Saccharomyces cerevisiae S288C: one gene and its partners. The gene in region 2 interacts genetically with the main gene of each other region. Each region holds a gene or a part of one and is shown on either strand. Other genes may lie near its edges.

The links.
Region 1: mutations in HTD2 (region 2) and LSC1 together harm fitness more than expected from each alone (negative genetic interaction), as found in Saccharomyces cerevisiae (4 studies listed by BioGRID).
Region 3: mutations in HTD2 (region 2) and CIT1 together harm fitness less than expected from each alone (positive genetic interaction), as found in Saccharomyces cerevisiae (4 studies listed by BioGRID).
Region 4: mutations in HTD2 (region 2) and ALD5 together harm fitness more than expected from each alone (negative genetic interaction), as found in Saccharomyces cerevisiae (3 studies listed by BioGRID).

Annotation. Positions count from the first base shown.
Region 1 is NC_001147.6:591,340-596,124, reverse strand, and holds LSC1 (succinate--CoA ligase (GDP-forming) subunit alpha), read right to left. Parts: upstream 3,069-4,785; coding exon 2,079-3,068; downstream 1-2,078. Other genes in the region: YOR142W-A (gag protein), read right to left, coding at 1-1,013; ARP8 (Arp8p), read left to right, coding at 3,538-4,785. UniProt on the Saccharomyces cerevisiae protein: Succinyl-CoA synthetase functions in the citric acid cycle (TCA), coupling the hydrolysis of succinyl-CoA to the synthesis of ATP and thus represents the only step of substrate-level phosphorylation in the TCA.
Region 2 is NC_001140.6:228,794-233,300, reverse strand, and holds HTD2 (hydroxyacyl-thioester dehydratase HTD2), read right to left. Parts: upstream 2,332-4,507; coding exon 1,489-2,331; downstream 1-1,488. Other genes in the region: DYS1 (deoxyhypusine synthase), read right to left, coding at 5-1,168; SSF1 (rRNA-binding ribosome biosynthesis protein), read right to left, coding at 2,605-3,966; RNA-dependent ATPase RRP3, read left to right, coding at 4,264-4,507. UniProt on the Saccharomyces cerevisiae protein: Mitochondrial 3-hydroxyacyl-thioester dehydratase involved in fatty acid biosynthesis. Required for respiratory growth and for normal mitochondrial morphology.
Region 3 is NC_001146.8:629,119-634,336, forward strand, and holds CIT1 (citrate (Si)-synthase CIT1), read right to left. Parts: upstream 1,944-5,218; coding exon 504-1,943; downstream 1-503. Other genes in the region: putative ammonium permease ATO2, read right to left, coding at 3,890-4,738. UniProt on the Saccharomyces cerevisiae protein: Specific citrate synthase with catalytic activity only with acetyl-CoA.
Region 4 is NC_001137.3:302,072-307,300, reverse strand, and holds ALD5 (aldehyde dehydrogenase (NAD(P)(+)) ALD5), read right to left. Parts: upstream 3,272-5,229; coding exon 1,709-3,271; downstream 1-1,708. Other genes in the region: 40S ribosomal protein eS24 RPS24A, read right to left, coding at 105-509, 976-978; VTC1 (Vtc1p), read right to left, coding at 4,106-4,495; TDA2 (Tda2p), read left to right, coding at 4,974-5,229. UniProt on the Saccharomyces cerevisiae protein: Minor mitochondrial aldehyde dehydrogenase isoform. Plays a role in regulation or biosynthesis of electron transport chain components. Involved in the biosynthesis of acetate during anaerobic growth on glucose.

The DNA of each region.
Region 1 (4,785 bases), on a different chromosome or scaffold from region 2:
TCAGCGACTGTCATATTTAGATGTCGATGACGTGTGTAGCGTAAAAATTTATATTCGCCAGATAGACCTCTCATAATTAATTGACATGCGACCTTGTTATTGATATGAATGCCATTATTGTTCAGTCTGTCGATAATGTTTGTGACTTTTGTTTCAAATGCATCTGCAGGTGTACTGCCATTATATTGCAAATTTGCCAGGGTCACAATGTCGTTTGCCTCTTGGGTATCAGATTGCATTTTTTCAATACTTTTGGAAAGAATTTTCATGATATCCGTATAATCAACGGATAGGATGTCTTTGACCCAGGTAGGTAGGAATTGAGAGGGAGCAAATATTTGAAAAGTGTTATACAAGAAGGTGAGTTCATCATCAGTGATCGGACGTACGGGTTTTCCGTTTACTGTCGGAATAATACCACCGAGATTCGAGTTTTGTAAAAATTTGATGTATGTTTTAACCCAATTTGGAAAGTCATTAGGTGAGGTTAACATTGGTGGTGGTCTGACATATTTTTTAGTGGATGTCATATCAGAGTCCGCTGAGGATGAATCAGTAAATGTATTACCTGACTCAGGTGATGGAGTGCTCAGAGGCGTTCCAACTGATGATGGATACTGCGGAAACTGTGATTGTGGCCCAGGTGGAAAGTACATAGGCGACATTTGATAAGGTGTATACGGAATCATAGATGGGTGTCCGTAAAATGACCAACCAGATGGATTGGCTTGGTTTTGGGTCATCATGCACTGCTGTGGGTACGGCCCATTCTGTGGAGGTGGTACTGAAGCAGGTTGAGGAGAGGCATGATGGGGGTTCTCTGGAACAGCTGATGAAGCAGGTGTTGTTGTCTGTTGAGAGTTAGCCTTAGTGGAAGCCTTATCATATTCTTGAATTTTGGAAGCTGAAACGTCTAACGGATCTTGATTTGTGTGGACTTCCTTAGAAGTAACCGAAGCACAGGCGCTACCATGAGATATATGTGGGTAATTAGATAATTGTTGGGATTCCATTGTTGATAAAGGCTATAATATTAGGTATACAGAATATACTAGAAGTTCTCCTCGAGGATATAGGAATCCTCAAAATGGAATCTATATTTCTACATACTAATATTACGATTATTCCTCATTCCGTTTTATATGTTTCATTATCCTATTACATTATCAATCCTTGCACTTCAGCTTCCTCTAACTTCGATGACAGCTTCTCATAACTTATGTCATCATCTTAACACCGTATATGATAATATATTGATAATATAACTATTAGTTGATAGACGATAGTGGATTTTTATTCCAACAAATAGTTTGATAATTTTTGGCATTCCTTTTTTTGGCAAAGGTTATATATAATATTATGTGTAGTTCTCCTCGAGGATATAGGAGTCCTCAAAAAGGAATCTATATTTCTACATAATAATACTATGATTATTTCTCCTTCTGTTCTATATGTTTTATTATCCTATTACGTTATCAATCCTTGCATTTCAGCTTCGTCTAACTTCGATGACAGTTTCTCATATCTTATGTCATCGTCTAACACCGTGTATGATAATATATTGGTAGTGTGACTACTAGTTGTTAGACGATAGTTGATTTTAATTCCAACACTTACCTATTTATCAGTGTCATTACTAAGAAGGAAATTTTTCATTAATAGTATATAACGTGCTGAGTCTTCCCAAATTGATTGAAACGCGCAAGTGGTTCAGTGGTTAGAATTTATGCTTCCCAAGCATGAGGCCCGGGTTCGATTCCCGGCTTGCGCATCTGTTTTTGCAAAACAGACTAGGAAATTCAGACGTTTTGTTATTTTTTTTTCCATTTCAATTATTAAGCTTTAATCAACCTTTATGTATACCCTTGTTAAGAAGAACATTAAATACAAACACTATTAAAAGATTTTTAGTAGAATTTATAAGGATAAATGAATATATACAAAGGGAAAAATTAACATAGAATGTTGAGTAAAAGCTCTGAAAAGAAAACGGATGTCAGCTCCATACTTGTCTAAGCAATAATCGAGACATAGAAGTCTTCCTCTTTTGAAAGCAGTTCATTCTCTTCCTAATATAATCATTTAAATTTGGCAAATTGATCCAGTAAAGCTTGACCTAAGTAACCTGGAGATTCAACGACGGCAACACCAACATCTCTCAAAGCTTGTTTTTTGGATTCTGCATCAGTTCCAGATCCTTCTACAATTGCACCGGAGTGACCCATTCTAACACCTTTCATTTGACCAGCAACAGTTCCTGCGATGAAAGATGCCACCGGCATCGGCTTACTCCTGCTAAAGTTGTATTCTTTGAGAAATTGAGCAGCTTCGATTTCGGCCTTACCACCTATTTCACCTAACATAATAATACCTTCTGTAGTTTCATCTTCTAGAAATAATTTCAAGGCGTCAATAAAATCAGTACCGGGAAAAGCATCACCACCCATACCAATAACCAGTGATTGACCAAGGTCAGTTTTTGTAGTTTGCTGAACAGCTTCGTATGTCAAAGTTCCCGATCTGGAAATAATACCGATTTTACCAGCTTGAAAAATTTTTGGGGGCTGGATACCAATTCTTACCTTTGTTGCTGGGTTAATGATACCAGGGCAGTTGGGCCCAACTAATCTTGTTTTATCTTGTGTCTGCAACATTTCTGCAATGTATAACATGTCATGTTGAGGAATACCTTCAGTGATACATACAGCTAACGGAATTTCAGCTTCAATAGATTCTTTAATGGCAGCAGCTGCGATCGGTGGAGGAACAAAGATGGCACTGGCAGTGGCTCCAGTCTCCTTAATCGCGTCCTTCACAGAGGCAAAGACAGGTTGGCCTAAATGTGTTTGACCCGCCTTTTTTGGGTTCGTACCACCCACAACATTTGTACCATATTCTTGAGAGATGCTGGCATGAAAAGTACCTTGTTTACCTGTGAACCCCTGAAAGATCACCTTGGTGTCCTTGGGAAGCAGCAAATTTTTGATCGTCTTATCGTAAGGAATAGATTCTCTGTGAAAGTGACGACAAATTTTGAGAGAAGCTTTTGAAACGGTAGATCTTAACATTATCAAACTGAAGAATAAATGGTCTGCAAAAGAAATTTTCTATGAAATCGAACGTATATAGAGTGGTAAGTAACAAACAGAACAACAATTAGGGGAAACTTGTCTCCTTCCAGCTTTTATATCGCTTGATTAAATCCAACTGTGGTAAGCCTATATATACGCAGTGTGCTGTGAACAACTCTCGAACAAGGATACTTAATTGACAATTGCAAAGCACTTAAGGGCTCTATTACCATCTGGATATCAGTCTCGAGAAACGCCTTTTTTGTTTCTGTTTTTATAGCAGCAACTTTGGGTCCGAGGTTGGGGTAGATCCGTTATCCAGCCGCTGGTTGGGCCGTGCAAGATGACTTATTTGAGAATGGCAATATGAATAAATGGAGATGATGAACGCCCACGAAGTAGCAAACACTTTCAGGTAAATTACTAGTCAATAGTACATAAATACAGGGATACAATCGCACCTAACATGTCGCAAGAAGAAGCAGAATCCAGTATTATTTATGAGGAACCCATTGATATTCCGTTAGAGGATGATGACGATGAGGATGAACTGGAAGAAGAAAATAGCGTACCTTTAAGCAGCCAGGCGGATCAAGAAAATGCGGAGAATGAGTCAGACGATAGTGTCGATAACGTAGTTGGATCTGAGACACCCAGAAGTGTAACAGGTCTTTCTGTTGACCCAAGAGACGTTGCAGACGAAGAAGATGAAGATGAAGAAGGGGAAGACGAAGATGAAGACGAAGACGACAATGATGTTGACAATGAGGACGAAAATGATAATGATAATGCCAACGAAAATGAAAATGAATTAGGGAGCTCTAGAGATAAGAGGGCACCACCTGCTGTGCAGACTAGTAAACGTTATAAGAAATATCCGAAGCTAGATCCCGCAAAAGCACCTCCCGGGAAGAAAGTCCCGCTACATCTTTTGGAGAAGAGGAGACTAGGACGTATTAAAGCTGCTGAAGAATTTGCCAAGACGTTGAAAAAAATTGGCATTGAGAAAGTGGAGACAACTACTTTACCTGCCACTGGCCTGTTCCAACCTTTAATGTTAATCAACCAAAAAAACTACTCATCAGATTATCTGAAAAAAGACGATCAAATATTTGCACTTAGAGATAGAAAATTTTTGAGAAATAACAACACTAGCCAAATATCTAGTACCAACACACCAGATGTTATAGATTTAAAGAGTTTGCCCCACTCAGAAGCGAGTGCAGCACCACTTAATGACGAGATAGATCTAAATGATCCAACAGCAACTATCGTGATACATCCTGGATCAAATTCTATAAAGATAGGATTTCCCAAAGATGACCATCCTGTCGTAGTTCCAAATTGTGTAGCGGTACCTAAAAAATGGCTGGATCTTGAAAATAGTGAACATGTTGAAAACGTTTGCCTTCAAAGAGAACAGTCAGAAGAGTTTAACAACATAAAGTCGGAGATGGAAAAGAATTTTAGAGAACGTATGAGGTATTATAAAAGAAAGGTACCAGGTAATGCTCACGAACAGGTAGTATCTTTCAATGAAAATTCCAAACCTGAGATTATTTCAGAGAAAAATGATCCATCTCCTATAGAATGGATATTTGATGACTCAAAATTATACTATGGTTCAGATGCATTGAGGTGCGTGGACGAAAAATTTGTTATTAGAAAGCCTTTCAGAGGTGGCTCTTTTAATGTCAAGTCACCATATTATAAA
Region 2 (4,507 bases):
CTCATCAATTCTTAACTTTTTTGATTGGTTTACCACTGGCAAAGGTAGCAGCAACAATCAATGGAAGAACAGTGGTGACATCAGCAAAAAGTTTGACGGATTTGGCTTCAGCCTTGATCTTACCCCAAGACACAGCTTCGTCAGGTCTTGCACCTGCATCAGAACCATCGTATTCTTGACCAGTGTTAATGTAAACGGCATAATCAGCACCATTTCTCATCAAACAAGCATTGGCAATGTGGTGCTTGATCAAACCACCACCCAAGATGATCATACCGGCTCTGTAAGCGGCCATGGACATTGAATTGATTTTGCGGATATCTCCTACAATGTCAACTCTTAGTTGTTTTGGAGATGCTTTAAAAGTATGGAAAAACAACATGTCACCGATTGAACCATCAGTCAAAGATGGACAAAAGATTGGAATTTTATTCTTGTGGGCCCAGTACAATACGGAGGATTCGTCGTTGATTTCCTTACCAAAACGATCTATCATCTTAGATGGGGTCCAGATTGGTGAATCCACGTCTTGGTTAGCCTCTAAACAGTCAGCGCCATGTTTCTTTACGTATTCATCTTGTTCTTCCAACATCTTATCCAAAATTGGGACAATCCATTCTTCAAACTTACAGTAGTTATCATTTGGAACAAGCAAGTTACCAATACGATTCATACCTTGGTCACGCAAAGATTTACCTTTCAAAGCAAATTCACCCAAGTAAGTTGGAGCAAGACATTTGATCAAATCTTCTTCCACACCACCAGCAGAAGTAACGACAGCATCAACCATTTTGTGTTGCACCAAATAACGTAAAGTTTCACGTACACCGGAACTGATCAAGTTAGAAGTATAACCCATGAAGATAGTAGTCTTTTGGTACCCTTCCTCATCGAAGCAACCTTTCTTTTCATGGTCATCCAATTCGTCAATATGCTTACCTCTCCATGATCTCATACTATCAATAATCTCACAGGCAGTACCAACAGAACTAGCTTGGAAACCCATGGTCTTCATAGCTTCAATTAAATCAGTTGCTCTCATATTAGTGGCTTCAGGCTTTGAGTAATCAATACCTTGAACCTTAACGAAGTCATCTGGAATAGGAACAGATGCTTTCAAGACAGCGTCTTGTAGTAACTCTGGGAGTTTTTCGTTGATATCGGACATCTTTTTTGCTTTGACTTGTATATAAGTTAACTAAGCAAAACACGACTTTACTCTGCAGTTAGATACAAAACTGATAGAGGGAAGTACTTTGCGTCAAAATGGAAATATACATTACATTTAATTTTTCACTTTACTTTTTATTTTTTTTTCCCACCTTTTTTTCAGTTCTTCCCGTAATGCGTTTACCGTCAACCTGGTGATGGCGAGATATTATGGTAATCTCGTTCGTGACCTTCCACTGTTCAGCAGCTACTAGTATTATTTCAAGAGACAAGAAACACACAGGTAGTGATTATCTGCAGAGAGACAATTACTGGTAGTCAACAGAAAACATCAGCTTTCATGTAGACTAAGTTGGCTTTCTGGAGGTCCCTAATTTGAAATGTGTACATTCCGCTCGAAGAGCTTAAAGACTGACATATGCTCAAAGTAGTGTTTGGATATATATAATTCAAATTGCGGTATCGCAACTGTCTGATTGGTTGTTCGAGAAAAGGTTGGATGCATTTCTGTAGTAATTGGACCGAGAAGGGTCCTTGCATGATAATATCGTCGTAGCCTTCAACATAGCGACTGTACTCTTTGTCCCAATGAATTCGGTGCGGATTCAAAGACATCTGACCATAAGCTACAATATCCATATCAGTAACAGTAAAATTTTTTAAGATCTTATAGTTCTCCTCTCCTACGGGCATCTTGACTGCAGTCTTGTTTGCGGGTGAATTGGTGTACATTAATACCCTTCTCTCGAATAAGCAAATGTCCATTGGACTCGACACATTTTCGGGCCTTTCTTGTAAAAGGGTTCTTTCAATACAGACAACATGTTCATCTCGTATTTTTTTTACGTATTTGATTGATTCGTGGCATGTATACTCCTGGTCTAAGGTGACTGGTAAATACTGAACAAGCTCTCCTTGTCCCCAAATCCTTCTACGGTAGCGTAAATCAGGGTTTCCTAGCAAACTTGCAGGATTTTGATAGTTAAAATAACCATCTCTATCCAATTTTTCGAATGATGGTGGGAAGAACAGGAAATGTTCTCCCAGTTGAAGATGCTTCGTTGCCTTTGATACAGGGAGTCTCCTACAAAGTAAACTATCAAACGCTTTGGTTCGGTGACTAGATAAGACATCCCTGAAAATCCACGTTTTGGATTTCATGCTGATAAGCTGTCTTTAGATAAGTGGACGATTGCCCACCTTCAATGTACCAGCCACGCTCATGTATCGAAACAGTAGCTTAAAATGGCGTAAAAAAGGTAAGATCGAATTTTTTTTCACATGCCTTCTGAGATCTACGTTTCCTTTGGGCTATGATTTAAAAGACAAAGAGTTTATATGTATCAAGTATGCAATTTATCTAAAGTGAAGAAGTATACGTGCGTTGGTGGATAGCCAGGCTTAACTAAAATTTTCTTGGTACCGGAGAACAATTTATTCGACCTCACTAAATAAGTCACTATCTAGATCCTCTGGTACGCTACCATAATGTTCGCTGTCACTTGATGAAGACTCATCATCGCTCATCGCATCATCTTTTCCTTGACCTTCACCTCCTTCTGCTGCTCTAGCTTTTCTTCTTTCCAATTTACGTTGCTTTTTAGCGTCTTTAACAGCCTTCTTTTTAGCAATGTTTTCTTCTTGTTCCTTCTTTCTTTGTTCCTTCAGCCTCATTTTTGCAGCGTGTCTCTTTTCTAAAGCTTTGATTTCTTCGCTTGATTTTTGAACAAATTCATGATGTAACACTTTACCTGAACAAATACCTTCTTCTATCTTGACCAGTTTTAAAGTTAATCTTGGTCCTAATTCAGTTAGTTTGATAGCTTTCTTACGTGGGGTTGGTTGCAAGTTTTCTGAAGGCTTAGGTTCCTCCATTTCCACATCTTCTTCTTCTGTTTCTTTTTCACGCTCTTTATTATCCTTCTTTTCGACCGGTGTTCTTTGGGACTTCAAACTTTGAGAATGCTTTGCCTTCACGTCCTGATTATCAACTACTCTCACGATAGCGTCATCTTCAATTTCAGATTCTGATGTATAGGCGCCTAAGTCGTGATCTAATATCAAAGAAGAAATATCTTCTTTTCGATGCAAATTCGGCACTGTTTTACTTAGATTATTTTTGGCTTTATAAAGCCTTTTTAGGTTTCTAGAGATCTCTACTTCTCGAATGTCAATAAAATAGTGGCGCATAGAAATTTCCCCTGTTTCCCTGTCTTTATTGATCATAAATACACGTTTGATAGAATTCAAAGAAGTTCTCGCAGGATTCAGAGGTGGGAAAATATTCTGAAACATAGAAACAATGACCTTCTCCACGTTTACATCCTGGTCGTCTTCACCAGATCTTTTGGATGTGGAAAACCCGTTTAGCACTAGCAATGGAGGATTTAATACATCATCATTATTCAACGATTTAGGTCTCTTCAAAAATTTTTTGATATCTCTACCCAGAGAATAGTCCAATACTTGAAAAGTAACAGTAGGACCTTGCGGAGTTCTAGCTATCTTTAGGGAGACATTTCCTGTTTTTTCAGATTGAGTGAACATAAAAAGATGCGTAACACCTAATGGGCCACACATAACAACGAAATCCTTCAGTTTATTGGACTTGCGCTCTTTCAATTTTATAGCCGTATGTGGTTGCATGATTTGGCGGAAGTCCTTTACTAATTGGTTCAGAGAATGGTTGGCCAAAGAAGTTTGACCCACTCTGATTACCATTGACTTAGGTATACCTTGTTCCTGCTCAGGTGTAAGCTGTGCATGTGTTCTTTTCTTTTGTCTTCTCTTGGCCATCTTGAAATTTTATTGTCTGCTATATCTGGATTATACTCTTTTATTATTAAACATACTACTCACTCAAACCCAGATATCGAACTAATATCGCGATGAGATGAGCTTCTTCGTCTACTTTTTTTTTTTTTTTTTTTTCAGTGAAAAATTTCAATTTCGTCTAAGGCGATAAAAATGAAAAATTTAAAATTAATCAATGAGCATTTAGCAATTGTACATGGTATACACAGAATTGTGACATATCTTAGAAGCAATATATACCAAGATTCTGTTAAGTACTTCACTGAATCAGCTATAAAAATGTCCAAAATTGTTAAGAGAAAGGAAAAGAAGGCTAACGATGAATTAACTTCTTTAGCAGAAAAGATTAGAGCAAAAGCTTTGGAAAATCAAAAGAAGCTTATAGAAGCAGAAAAGGAAGGTGGTTCAGAGTCCGATTCTGAAGAAGATGCTACTGCTGAAAAGAAAAAGGTTTTGAAATCAAAAAGCAAATCCACAGTATCAACCCAAAATGAAAATACTAATGAAGATGAATCTTTTGAAT
Region 3 (5,218 bases), on a different chromosome or scaffold from region 2:
AAAGTGACATTTATCTTGAGGTAAGAACAGAAGAAAAAAAGGAAAAAGAGAAAATTTTATGAGATTGCTTTTTTCACATGACCATATTATATTCGCTTTATCAACTTTTTAGTGTATCTTCTACTCTAGGACAGATAAAGATGCATTAACCTTGTCATTTTGCTTCTTCTGCAGGTTCATATACATATAAACGTTAGTTACACCTTGACGTAGTATATCGACTACAGGCTAGATTTTACTGCTAAATCAGCGCGCCAGCCCACCACAATTCGATTTGAAAGCGCTTTGCAGGAATTTAAGAGCATTTTGTTTTCTATTCATTGATATCATTTGCCAAGTATATAACATAACCGGTAGGCATAGGGGACTCAAAGCGTAAAAATCATGAAGTCATAGCCATTTCCTTATGTAATATATATTTATATAAATTATAAACTACTCATTCGTATATGAAAATACGTGTTTGAATAGTCGCATACCCTGAATCAAAAATCAAATTTTCCTTAGTTCTTACTTTCGATTTTCTTTACCAACTCCTTGTATTTTTCGGTGGAGAATGATTTTGGCCTTTCGATTGGAGCACCAACAGCCCTATCGATGATTAATTGGGGTAACACACCAATAGCTCTGGCAACACCAAACAATACAGTGTAGAACGAAGCCTCAGTTAGACCATAGTATTGCAATAAAACACCGGAATGTGAATCAACATTTGGCCATGGGTTCTTAGTTTTACCATGCTTAGTTAAAACCCCTGGGGCAACTTCATAAATGGTGGAGACCAACTTAAATAACTCGTAATCTGGGAAATGTTTCAATGCGAATTCACGTTGAGCCGTATAACGAGGATCAGTTTTTCTCAAAACCGCATGGCCATAACCAGGAACAACTCTCCCTGCGTTCAAAGTATCCCACAAGTACTTTTCAATTGTTTCTTTTGAATAGTCACCTTTCACTTCTTCTCTCAATTTAAATAGCCATTCTAAAACTTCTTGATTGGCACGACCATGTAATGGGCCAGCTAAACCATTCAAACCAGCGGCCAAAGATAAGTATGGCGAAGATAAGGCAGAACCCACTAAATGTGTAGTATGGGCAGAAACGTTACCACCTTCATGATCAGAATGAATAGTTAAATATAGTCTCATTAAGTCAATAAAATCCTTGTTTTCGTAGCCCAAAAGTTGGGCCAAATTTTTACCATAGTCAGCATTAGGATCGGTTGAAGTAATTTTACCATCCTTGAACACATTACGATAAATTTTGGAAGCAATAACAGGTAATTTACCCAGCAGATCTAACGAATCTTCAAATGTATAGCTCCAATATTCTTTCTTGGATACACCTTGAGCATATGCTTTGGCAAACTTAGACTCGCTTTCTAAAGCAGTCACGGCAATAGAAAATTGCGCCATTGGATGTAGATCTTTTGGGAGGCTATCTAAAAGTTGGATAACGTGCTCTGGAATTTCTGATCTGGCAGCTAAATCAGCAGAAAGGGCTTTAACTTGAGCGTCAGTAGGTATTTCACCAGTCAAAAGCAACCAAAATAAAGCTTCTGGCAAAGGTTCTGTACTACCCTCAGCCTTTGGTAGTTCCCTTTGAATTTCTGGAATAGTACGACCCCTAAATCTAATACCTTCTTCGGGGTCTAACACGGAACCTTCCCAAACAAGGCCTTTAATACCTCTCATACCACCATAAGCTTGCTCCAAAAGAACTTCACCAATAACGGTTTTACCGTGTTCTTTCTTGAATTTTTTAATTTCTTCTGCCTTTGCTGGGATAATTTCAGCAAATCTCTCCTTCAACGTTTGTTCGGAGGCGCTACTATAGTGGCGAGCATTCAATAGTGCAAAAAGAGCCTTTTGCATATTTTGACATTGTCTTGTGGAGCCCCTTGATAAGAAACTTTTGCTAGTTGTTGATAATATCGCTGACATCTTCGTAAATAGTATTATATTGCTATATGTTTTGCCTTATTTTCTTTTTAATGGTTGTAATTGTAATTACTTAAATGCAAATAAAAGCCAAAACAAACCTGGTTTGTATTTTAGTAAACAGCAAATTTCCCCCTTAAGACTAGCAATCCATAACAGGGGAAGGGTAAAGAATAGTTGCTGCAAGTTTTGAGCATTTATATAATGGATGGATATCAATTGACATTTTCAAACAACAAGAGGTCGGATAAGTCGATAGTATCGGAAAAGCTCCAAAGGGATTGCGATCCTCCAATAACACAAAAGTATTTTTGGTCTAGCGGGGGTCATACTTTTCATTTCCGGGCGGCTGCGGCGGAAAAAAACGTGACGCCTTTTAGCACAAAAATGCAAGGTAAATACATAAAAAAAAAGGCAATGTGAACGTAAAAACGCTCATATTTACAAAGATTAATTGAGCCGTTCAATGAAATGCGAACTTCGGAGATTTCTTTAATTAGTTTAGGTATACTTTCCTGCGAAGGTCTTGTTGGAATATGTAGTAATCTCTACCCGCGTTTTTAGTTAATGCTGAATGGTTTTTGATGGCTCCTTTTTTCTTAGAGTGACAGGCGCGGCAGCCCCTTAACGCGGGTACCTGAACAAGTAAATCCGAAAATTCAATTTGACAAGGGAATCATTGGGCTGACAACAATAAGATGAGCTCTCTTATATTTTTGCCCAGGGAAAAATTTTTTGCCCACTAAAGATATGCAATATTAAAAAATTTGATAAAAATAAATCAATGGGGGCGAGCCGGGACTCGAACCCGGGACCTCCCGCACCCTAAGCGAGAATCATACCTCTAGACCACACGCCCGGTAGAAGTTGTTTTAATGAATTTCAAAATATGGTACCTCAACATCAATAGATCATCAACCACAACGTAAAACATGCATGTGAGGCTTAGGTGATTTTTGAGATAATTGTTGGGATTCCATTGTTGAAAAAGGCTATAATATTAGGTATACAGAATATACTAGAAGTTCTCCTCGAGGATCTAGGAATCCTCATATTCCTCTGTTGATAATTAGAGGTTAAAAATTAGTATTAATGAAGAAATAAGTACTGATCTTCTTATACTAAATAAGAGATGTATATAAAACACACGCTGATTGGTCATATTAATCATGACCAATATAATAGTGATTCCGGTAGTTACTAAACATTGATGTGACGACTCATATTCCTCATATATGTACCTACCATAACATGTTCAACTAATAGGTCTTTAACACAGCTTCAGTATTGTCTGAGCTTCTCGTTTAACATTCCTTCTGCAATAGGCGCAATCACACTTAAACGTATACGAGGTGTACATTAATATACGATGTAAGCATTAGATTGTTACCATAGCAACTCATGTCACTATTAATTACTCTCGTTCCAACAAAACAATTCTTAAAAATTCACCAATTTAGCTTCATGGCAAGGCTTACAGATGATTAAAATCGTGTAGATCATGGAAATCGAACCTTTCACGTTCTGCAGAATTTAAAGTGACTCCATGGCCAAGTTGGTTAAGGCGTGCGACTGTTAATCGCAAGATCGTGAGTTCAACCCTCACTGGGGTCGTTTTTTTTCTTATTTCAGATAGTCTTGTCGGTAGCAAACAGTCAAATCGCTATCACTTACATGTGATATCATTTCTGTACTGCTTATGCACTATGAAGTGCGGTTTCTTTTTTATGCGATATTACATGTGTCAATAGCAAAAGGGGTAAACCGTGCTCCTATACAACAAGAACAATAGTTCGGAAATGCATGAGAACAGTGTTGTTTTATAAAGGATTCTATGTGAAATAAAACAAAGGCCGATTTGTTCGACATTTGCTGGGCTTTTCATAAATAATGGATCATAAGAATATATAATAGGGGTAAAAGTTATTTTAGCCTGCACTTTTGTGTTTTTAGAAGAACACCTTATCATTGCTAGGTAATGCGAATGGATGGACCATAATGTACGAGTTTTGTCTTGTGGCAATACCTGCGTAAGCGTTGTACCAGGCAATGAAGGCTACTATCACACCAAGGACCCCACCAGCTCTAGTGACGCCAACTTCGCCTGTGAAGTTTGCAATGGATAGAAGTAAGAAGGTCACTGCTAAGAGGAAGAATAAGGCAAAAAACATTATAGTTGATTTCATGGTGCAGACGGAAAGACCGAAGGTGAAGAGTGCCCATCCTAGGAGGTAAAACCCTAGCGCATTTCCAAGGTCGGATTCCTTGTCCTTATAGGCATCTAGAATTCCAAACCAAGGGATGTATATAGCACCGAAGCTTAACCAAAAACCGCCGAAGGAACACAGGGCTGTACCACCGAAAGTGTTCTCTAAAGCGATTTCCCAAATACCAGCAATGAGTTGAACGAGGCCACCGTAAAACATGGCACACCCAACAACAACATTAGGGATAGTGATGCCTTGGGCTCTTGCATTGAACATGGATAGGACAAACGTAGTGAGGGCAAAACCGGAAAGTCCTAGTGGAGCAGGATTTGCGAATTTATGGACTGGCGCGGGGGCTAAACCGGGATTCAGAGTACCACCGAATGCCTCGAACAAATCATCCCTTAAAAATTTTTGACGGCCGATGTAAATATACTCGTTGTTTTTGCCCGCAGTATATATTTTGCATATGGACTCTTGCGAGTGGCGGCTCTGATCGTTGTTTTCAGAGATGAACTCACCCTCGGAAGAATCGAGTGCCTTAGGGTTCTCAAAAGCGGTGTTGCCGCTGCTTTGTTCTCTGTCAGACATGCCTTTTATTTTTTTCTGTGATTGAAGATTGTTTTTGATTGATCTGTAGAATGTTACATAGTTAGTTATGGCTATTCTAGCTCTAGGTAGGACAGTTCTCCTGCTTTATATATTTTGCTTGTTCAAAGATGATCACGGCTGTTCTCGGAGTGCGTAACTGCTTGAGAGTTAAATCCGTCGAAGTTGCTGATCATTTCCAGAAATGAGGAGACTGTTGATGATCTACTGTGAAATTATTGCGGGGCTGGTAGCATCTACTGTCACTATTATTGCCATGTCGGCTGGTATCGGAGTTCTCCCTCCGCCGATTTAGGATGGAGCCGTTCCAGCCGCGTCCGCTCTTAAGCGTCCGTAATTGGTCAACAAAGCATTTCAGCCGTGGTGATTGGAAGGAAGGTCAGCTTTCCTGTATTGCGTCTCTATCTACTTACAATACGAATGATACATTGAATTACGTACTAGTGTGAGATAGGGGTAGTC
Region 4 (5,229 bases), on a different chromosome or scaffold from region 2:
TTAAAATTATTGATTATATTTTTTATTGGAAAAAGATACACATATTTATATATAGAAAACTAAACAATCCGTAAAAATGATTTAACGTTTTGAAGTTAGTTTGCTTAATCGGCGTTACGACGAGCAACCTTCTTAGCCAATCTCTTACCAGTACCGAAGATCTTCTTGTCTCTGTTCTTCTTTTGCTTTCTTTGTTGTCTGGAAGCCTTTTCAACCTTTTCAGCCAAACCGTATCTGACTAATCTGTAAGTTGGTTCGAACTTCTTAGCTTCGGCAACAGAGTTGTAGACCAAACCGAAACCAACAGACTTACCACCACCAAATTGGGTTCTGAAACCGAAAACGGAGACAGCGTCCTTTTCAGCCTTGTAGACTTCAGCTAATTTTTCACGCAATTCATCCTTGGAGACATTAGCTCTGTTTGGGTGCAAGACGTCGACGACGAATTGCTTTCTGGCCAACAATGGGTTGGAGATAACCTTTCTAGTACGGATAGTAACAGCGTCAGACTGAGAAAAAACAATTTAGGTAAAAAACCATTTTAAAAATTGTTAGTAAAATAGGTTCCAGTGTGGGGGAAATCTTTGGAAATGGCGTCCTTGAAAGATCCTTCCAGTTTTCATGATAGGGATAATAGTCCAAAAAAGGTTCCTGTAGCATAATGGTTAGCTAGATATCATTTTTTAGCGTTGAACTCTTAAAGCGGGATAAAATATTACGGGTCAGCTATTCGAGTGTTTAAATTTGAGTTATAAATTTAACCAATTACGATACGGATTTCACATTTCTTTTCACAATGATTGCCATTAATATATTAGCCAATAGTTGCTGTTACGCCACCTTAAATTTGCAAAACATTTCTTCTTTTACTTTCTTTTCTCGTTATGGTACCTTTATTGCCTTTTATACTAACTCATGGCAACTTTAACATGGAATATGGGACGTCATCTTTCATCTGAGCACTTTTTAACATACCATTTCTGCTTAATCTATGTTGGTTTCTTGAAATCTTTGTTTTGAACTAATACCTAACCATCCTCTAGCTCTTGAAATTCACTATAGTTATTCAATTCTTCTTCGCTGAGACAAAGTTAAAGCGCTGGGTGGACAACCGAGTGAAACTTCCTTCCAAAGGAAGCAGCCTTCTGGAGTATTCCGTTAGTGACTGCGTGGCCCCGCCTACAGGACGCTTAGGTGATGAATACTCGCCGAGGCGTAGGCTGCGGCATCGGACAATCATATTTTATGACAGTGGAAGAAGCGCAAGAAATGAAAAGAAAGTTGTAGGATGTGTGGGCTTGTAAATGTGTGGGTGTACAGTCCCGATATTGGCATACATTATCACATCGATAGAGTTTTCTGTTTATATATCTCTCTGGCACTTGTATCTACCTATAAAGATGAAATTTTGAAAAACAGAACTAGTGAGCAATTTGATCAATGAAACGAATTTGATTACTATATATTTCAATATACAATATCACCAAAAAAAAAAAAAAAAGTAAAGAAGGTAATTTCTCACCTATGCTTAAGAATGTAAATACATTGTTCATTAATGTTTATCACGTTATTATTTTTTTGTTTTGTTTTTTTTTTTTTGAATATATCCTTGTTAGATTTTATCTGTATGTCACGAGGCATTTTTCATTATTCTATAATGTTTATCATACATACCTTCAATGAGCAGTCAACTCGGGCCTGAGTTACTTCAACGAATTGGCTTGTCAATGGCAATTCTGACAGATTTTGTTTGAGTGTAGTTACTTAAAGCAGCCTCACCCATTTCACGGCCAATACCTGACTGGCCGAAGCCACCGAAAGGAACATTTTGGTGGAAGTTGTTATAGGTATTTATCCAAACAGTACCAGCTTTCACTCTTTTGGACACATCAACAGCCTTGTTAATATCGTTAGTGTGAATACCTGCGGCTAACCCATATTGAGAATCATTTGCCATAGCAATCACTTCATCAACAGTAGAAAACTTGGATACAGTTACAATGGGACCAAACACTTCCTCCTTAACAATTCTCATATCTTCTTTGACATCAGCAAACACTGTTGGCTTGACAAAATAACCTTTACTGCCATGTCTGGCCCCTCCAGTCACAAGACGAGCCCCCTCTGATTTTGCTACATCGACATAGTCTAAAATTTTATGCAGCTGTTTGTCAGATGTTTGAGCACCTTGGAAAACTTCCTCATCAAATGGGTCACCGACCTTTAGTGACTCGGTGTAATCCTTTAGTTTTTGCAACACCTCCTCGTATACTGTATCTTGAATGTATATTCTGGAACCAGCGCAGCAAACTTCACCAGAGTTGTAAAAAATACCGAAGGCAATGTTCTTGACGGCTTTATCTAGATCAGCGTCAGCAAACACAATATTTGGTGATTTACCTCCCAGCTCCAAAGTGACTTTCTTGACAGTATCGGCAGCGACCTTCATAATATGGCGGCCGGTGGCAGTAGAGCCTGTAAAAGCAATCTTCTTCACGTCTGGGTGTGCACTCAATCTTTCTCCAACAACTCTACCGGAACCCGGAAGGATATTGACTACACCAGCGGGTATGCCTGCTTCCTGACACAACTGGGAAGCGAAAAGGGCAGATAAAGGTGTTGTTTCAGCGGGTTTCAATACGACGGTGTTACCTGTAGCCAGAGCAGGCCCAATTTTCCATGACCACATCAATAAAGGGAAGTTCCAAGGGATTATTTGGCCGCAAACGCCTAATGGTTCCTTAATTGAGTAGGTAAAATGGTTTTTACCTGTGTCAATAACGTTACCGTAGATTTTATCTGCCCAACCACCGCAAGAACGCAAGTATTTAGATACTAAAGCGACGTCACCGCGCGCACAAAACAATGACTTACCATTATCCATTGACTCAATGGCAGCCAGTGTTTCTTGGTGTTTCTCAACCAAGTCAGCGAGATTGAATAAAGCTTTAGCGCGAACCTCCGGCTCTACAATAGACCACTTCGTTTCAAAAGCTTTTTTAGCCGCTGCAACGGCTTCATCAACATCATCTTCCATAGCCTTGTATACAGTTGTTATCTTTTCTTCGTTAGATGGATTGATCACGTCAAACGTTTTCTTTTGCTTCGAGGCAACAAATTCACCATTGATGAATAACCCTGTTGGCTGTTCGTAGGTGAAACCATTTGGAAGAGTAATTGGAACGCGTAATGGTGCTTGAGAATAAAGACGTAACAAGCTTCTAGTGAATATTCTGGAATTCGGAGCTGCAGCTCTTGTGCGAGAAAGCATTTCTTCTTCTTTGGCTTTTTGTTAATGTTGTGAAGAAGTTTTCTGTCTTAACCACGTTTGATGAGACACTTATCGTATTGTTATATATGCTAAAAATGTCAAGAAGTCCTAAATTCAAAATAAATTAAGACGTTCTTTTTACATGGGGCTTATATAATCGTGTTTTGTTCTGTTCTTTGAAGCCATTCTCATCGAAAAACTCTAACAATCTGCGTAGTGATGAGTCAGAAGTCTTCCAACATTTTTAACGATACACAACCCCTCTCAGTTTGTGAAAAAAAAAAGAAAGAGAATAGCTTCCATCTTTTGGCGCCTTAAGCGGTATTCTAAAGGCTCCGCGAGCGAGCCTCTTTAACCTAATGCAAAAAAAAATTGTTACGCACGTTCCCGGCTTTTACCGTAATAGTAGTCAAGAGCTTAACTCTACGGCTAACAAGCGCTTGGTTGTACTACGCTCAGCGTACCATTAGGCCCTTGCTAGTCCGGTAGCGGCCAAAAAAAAAAATGGAACCCTTTTTGTATACTTATTTATCATTGATGTGTAAACGGCTTCTTAGGCTTACATAGCCACAAGAGAAAAGAAAGATGCCTCATCGAAATTAAAATTTTTTTATAGCGCTTGATATCTAGTGAAAGGGGCTGATTTTCAACTTGATATCCAAAAACGTAATGAGTACAAACAATAGCTCCTGAAACGTGAATATTTTTATTGTTCATGATTACCTATAGATGGATACTTTCTATATATGCGTATATATGAAACTAAATTATTTGTGAGCATCTTGAAAATACAGTTTGTGCGTAACCCACGCTTACGATATTGGAATTACAATTTCATAACTTAGTGTTAGCGTCATTGTACTTCAATCTTAATATAAAGTTGATAATGACAGCAACCAATAAGAAAAAGCACAACAAAGTGGGCCCCAATCTGTCATCATAAGGACCTGATCCTCTACGTCTAATCGCAGCAGCTCTCCAGTGGTATGTTACAAGCGCGTATATCATTGTACCCATGGCAACAAAAGTAAATAGTCCTGCACTGACCCTACCTATCTTGTCACCAAAATTCAGTAAACCTACACCAAGGCCTCCCAGCATAACTGTAAAGTTCAACCACGACAAAAAGGTACGCTCATTGGCAAAGAACACTTTTGGCTCAACTCGTGTGGGCAAAGCGATCTTTTTCCCAGGTGTTCTTTGTAATAATGGTGCTGAAGACATATTGTGGAAATCTGGCGTAGTGTTTAATCGTATTCGATAATGTAGTAAATCGTATGTTACGTGTATGCAAGTCGCTGGTTATGGAAATATGGACTCTTAAATACTGTTATCTATTTTGTATAATGCAGCATTCATTTTCTTCTCTCCGAGACACGTGCTAATATCTATTTCAAAGTGAAGTATCACCGACCGTAACAAGCGATATAACCATTAGTTATCTGATACGTGCTCAAAGATACTTGAAGAGAGAGTCTCATTATTTCTTGTCTCTATACATTTCCCAGTTTGCTATACTTAATCGCTCTTGCCATTCTATCCGAAAATAGCGATGCCAATATACCTCCTTTTTTGTAAATTTCTTTACTAGAAAATACGTATTCTTCTCTCTATTAGCGGATACCGTCTTGCAGTTTTACAAAACGCACTGTAAATTATTTAGGATAAGTGAAAGTAAGTGATTACGAAAGTCAACAAAAAAATGAGTATGCAGATTGAAATAAAGGATGGAAGGAGTGATAACTCTCCTCTGCCCGAAAGAAAACTAGTTACGTTAATTCAAGAAAGTTATGATAGTTTAAAAGATGACAATGAAATCAATTTATCGACCGAATCAACTTCCAACCTTCTTATAAAACTGGTCCTAGAAAAACTTGAAAAGCACTCTTCTTTGTATAAATATATTGCCTCGGTAACGACGTTGAACATTGAAGGACTCAACGAAGAAAACGCTAATT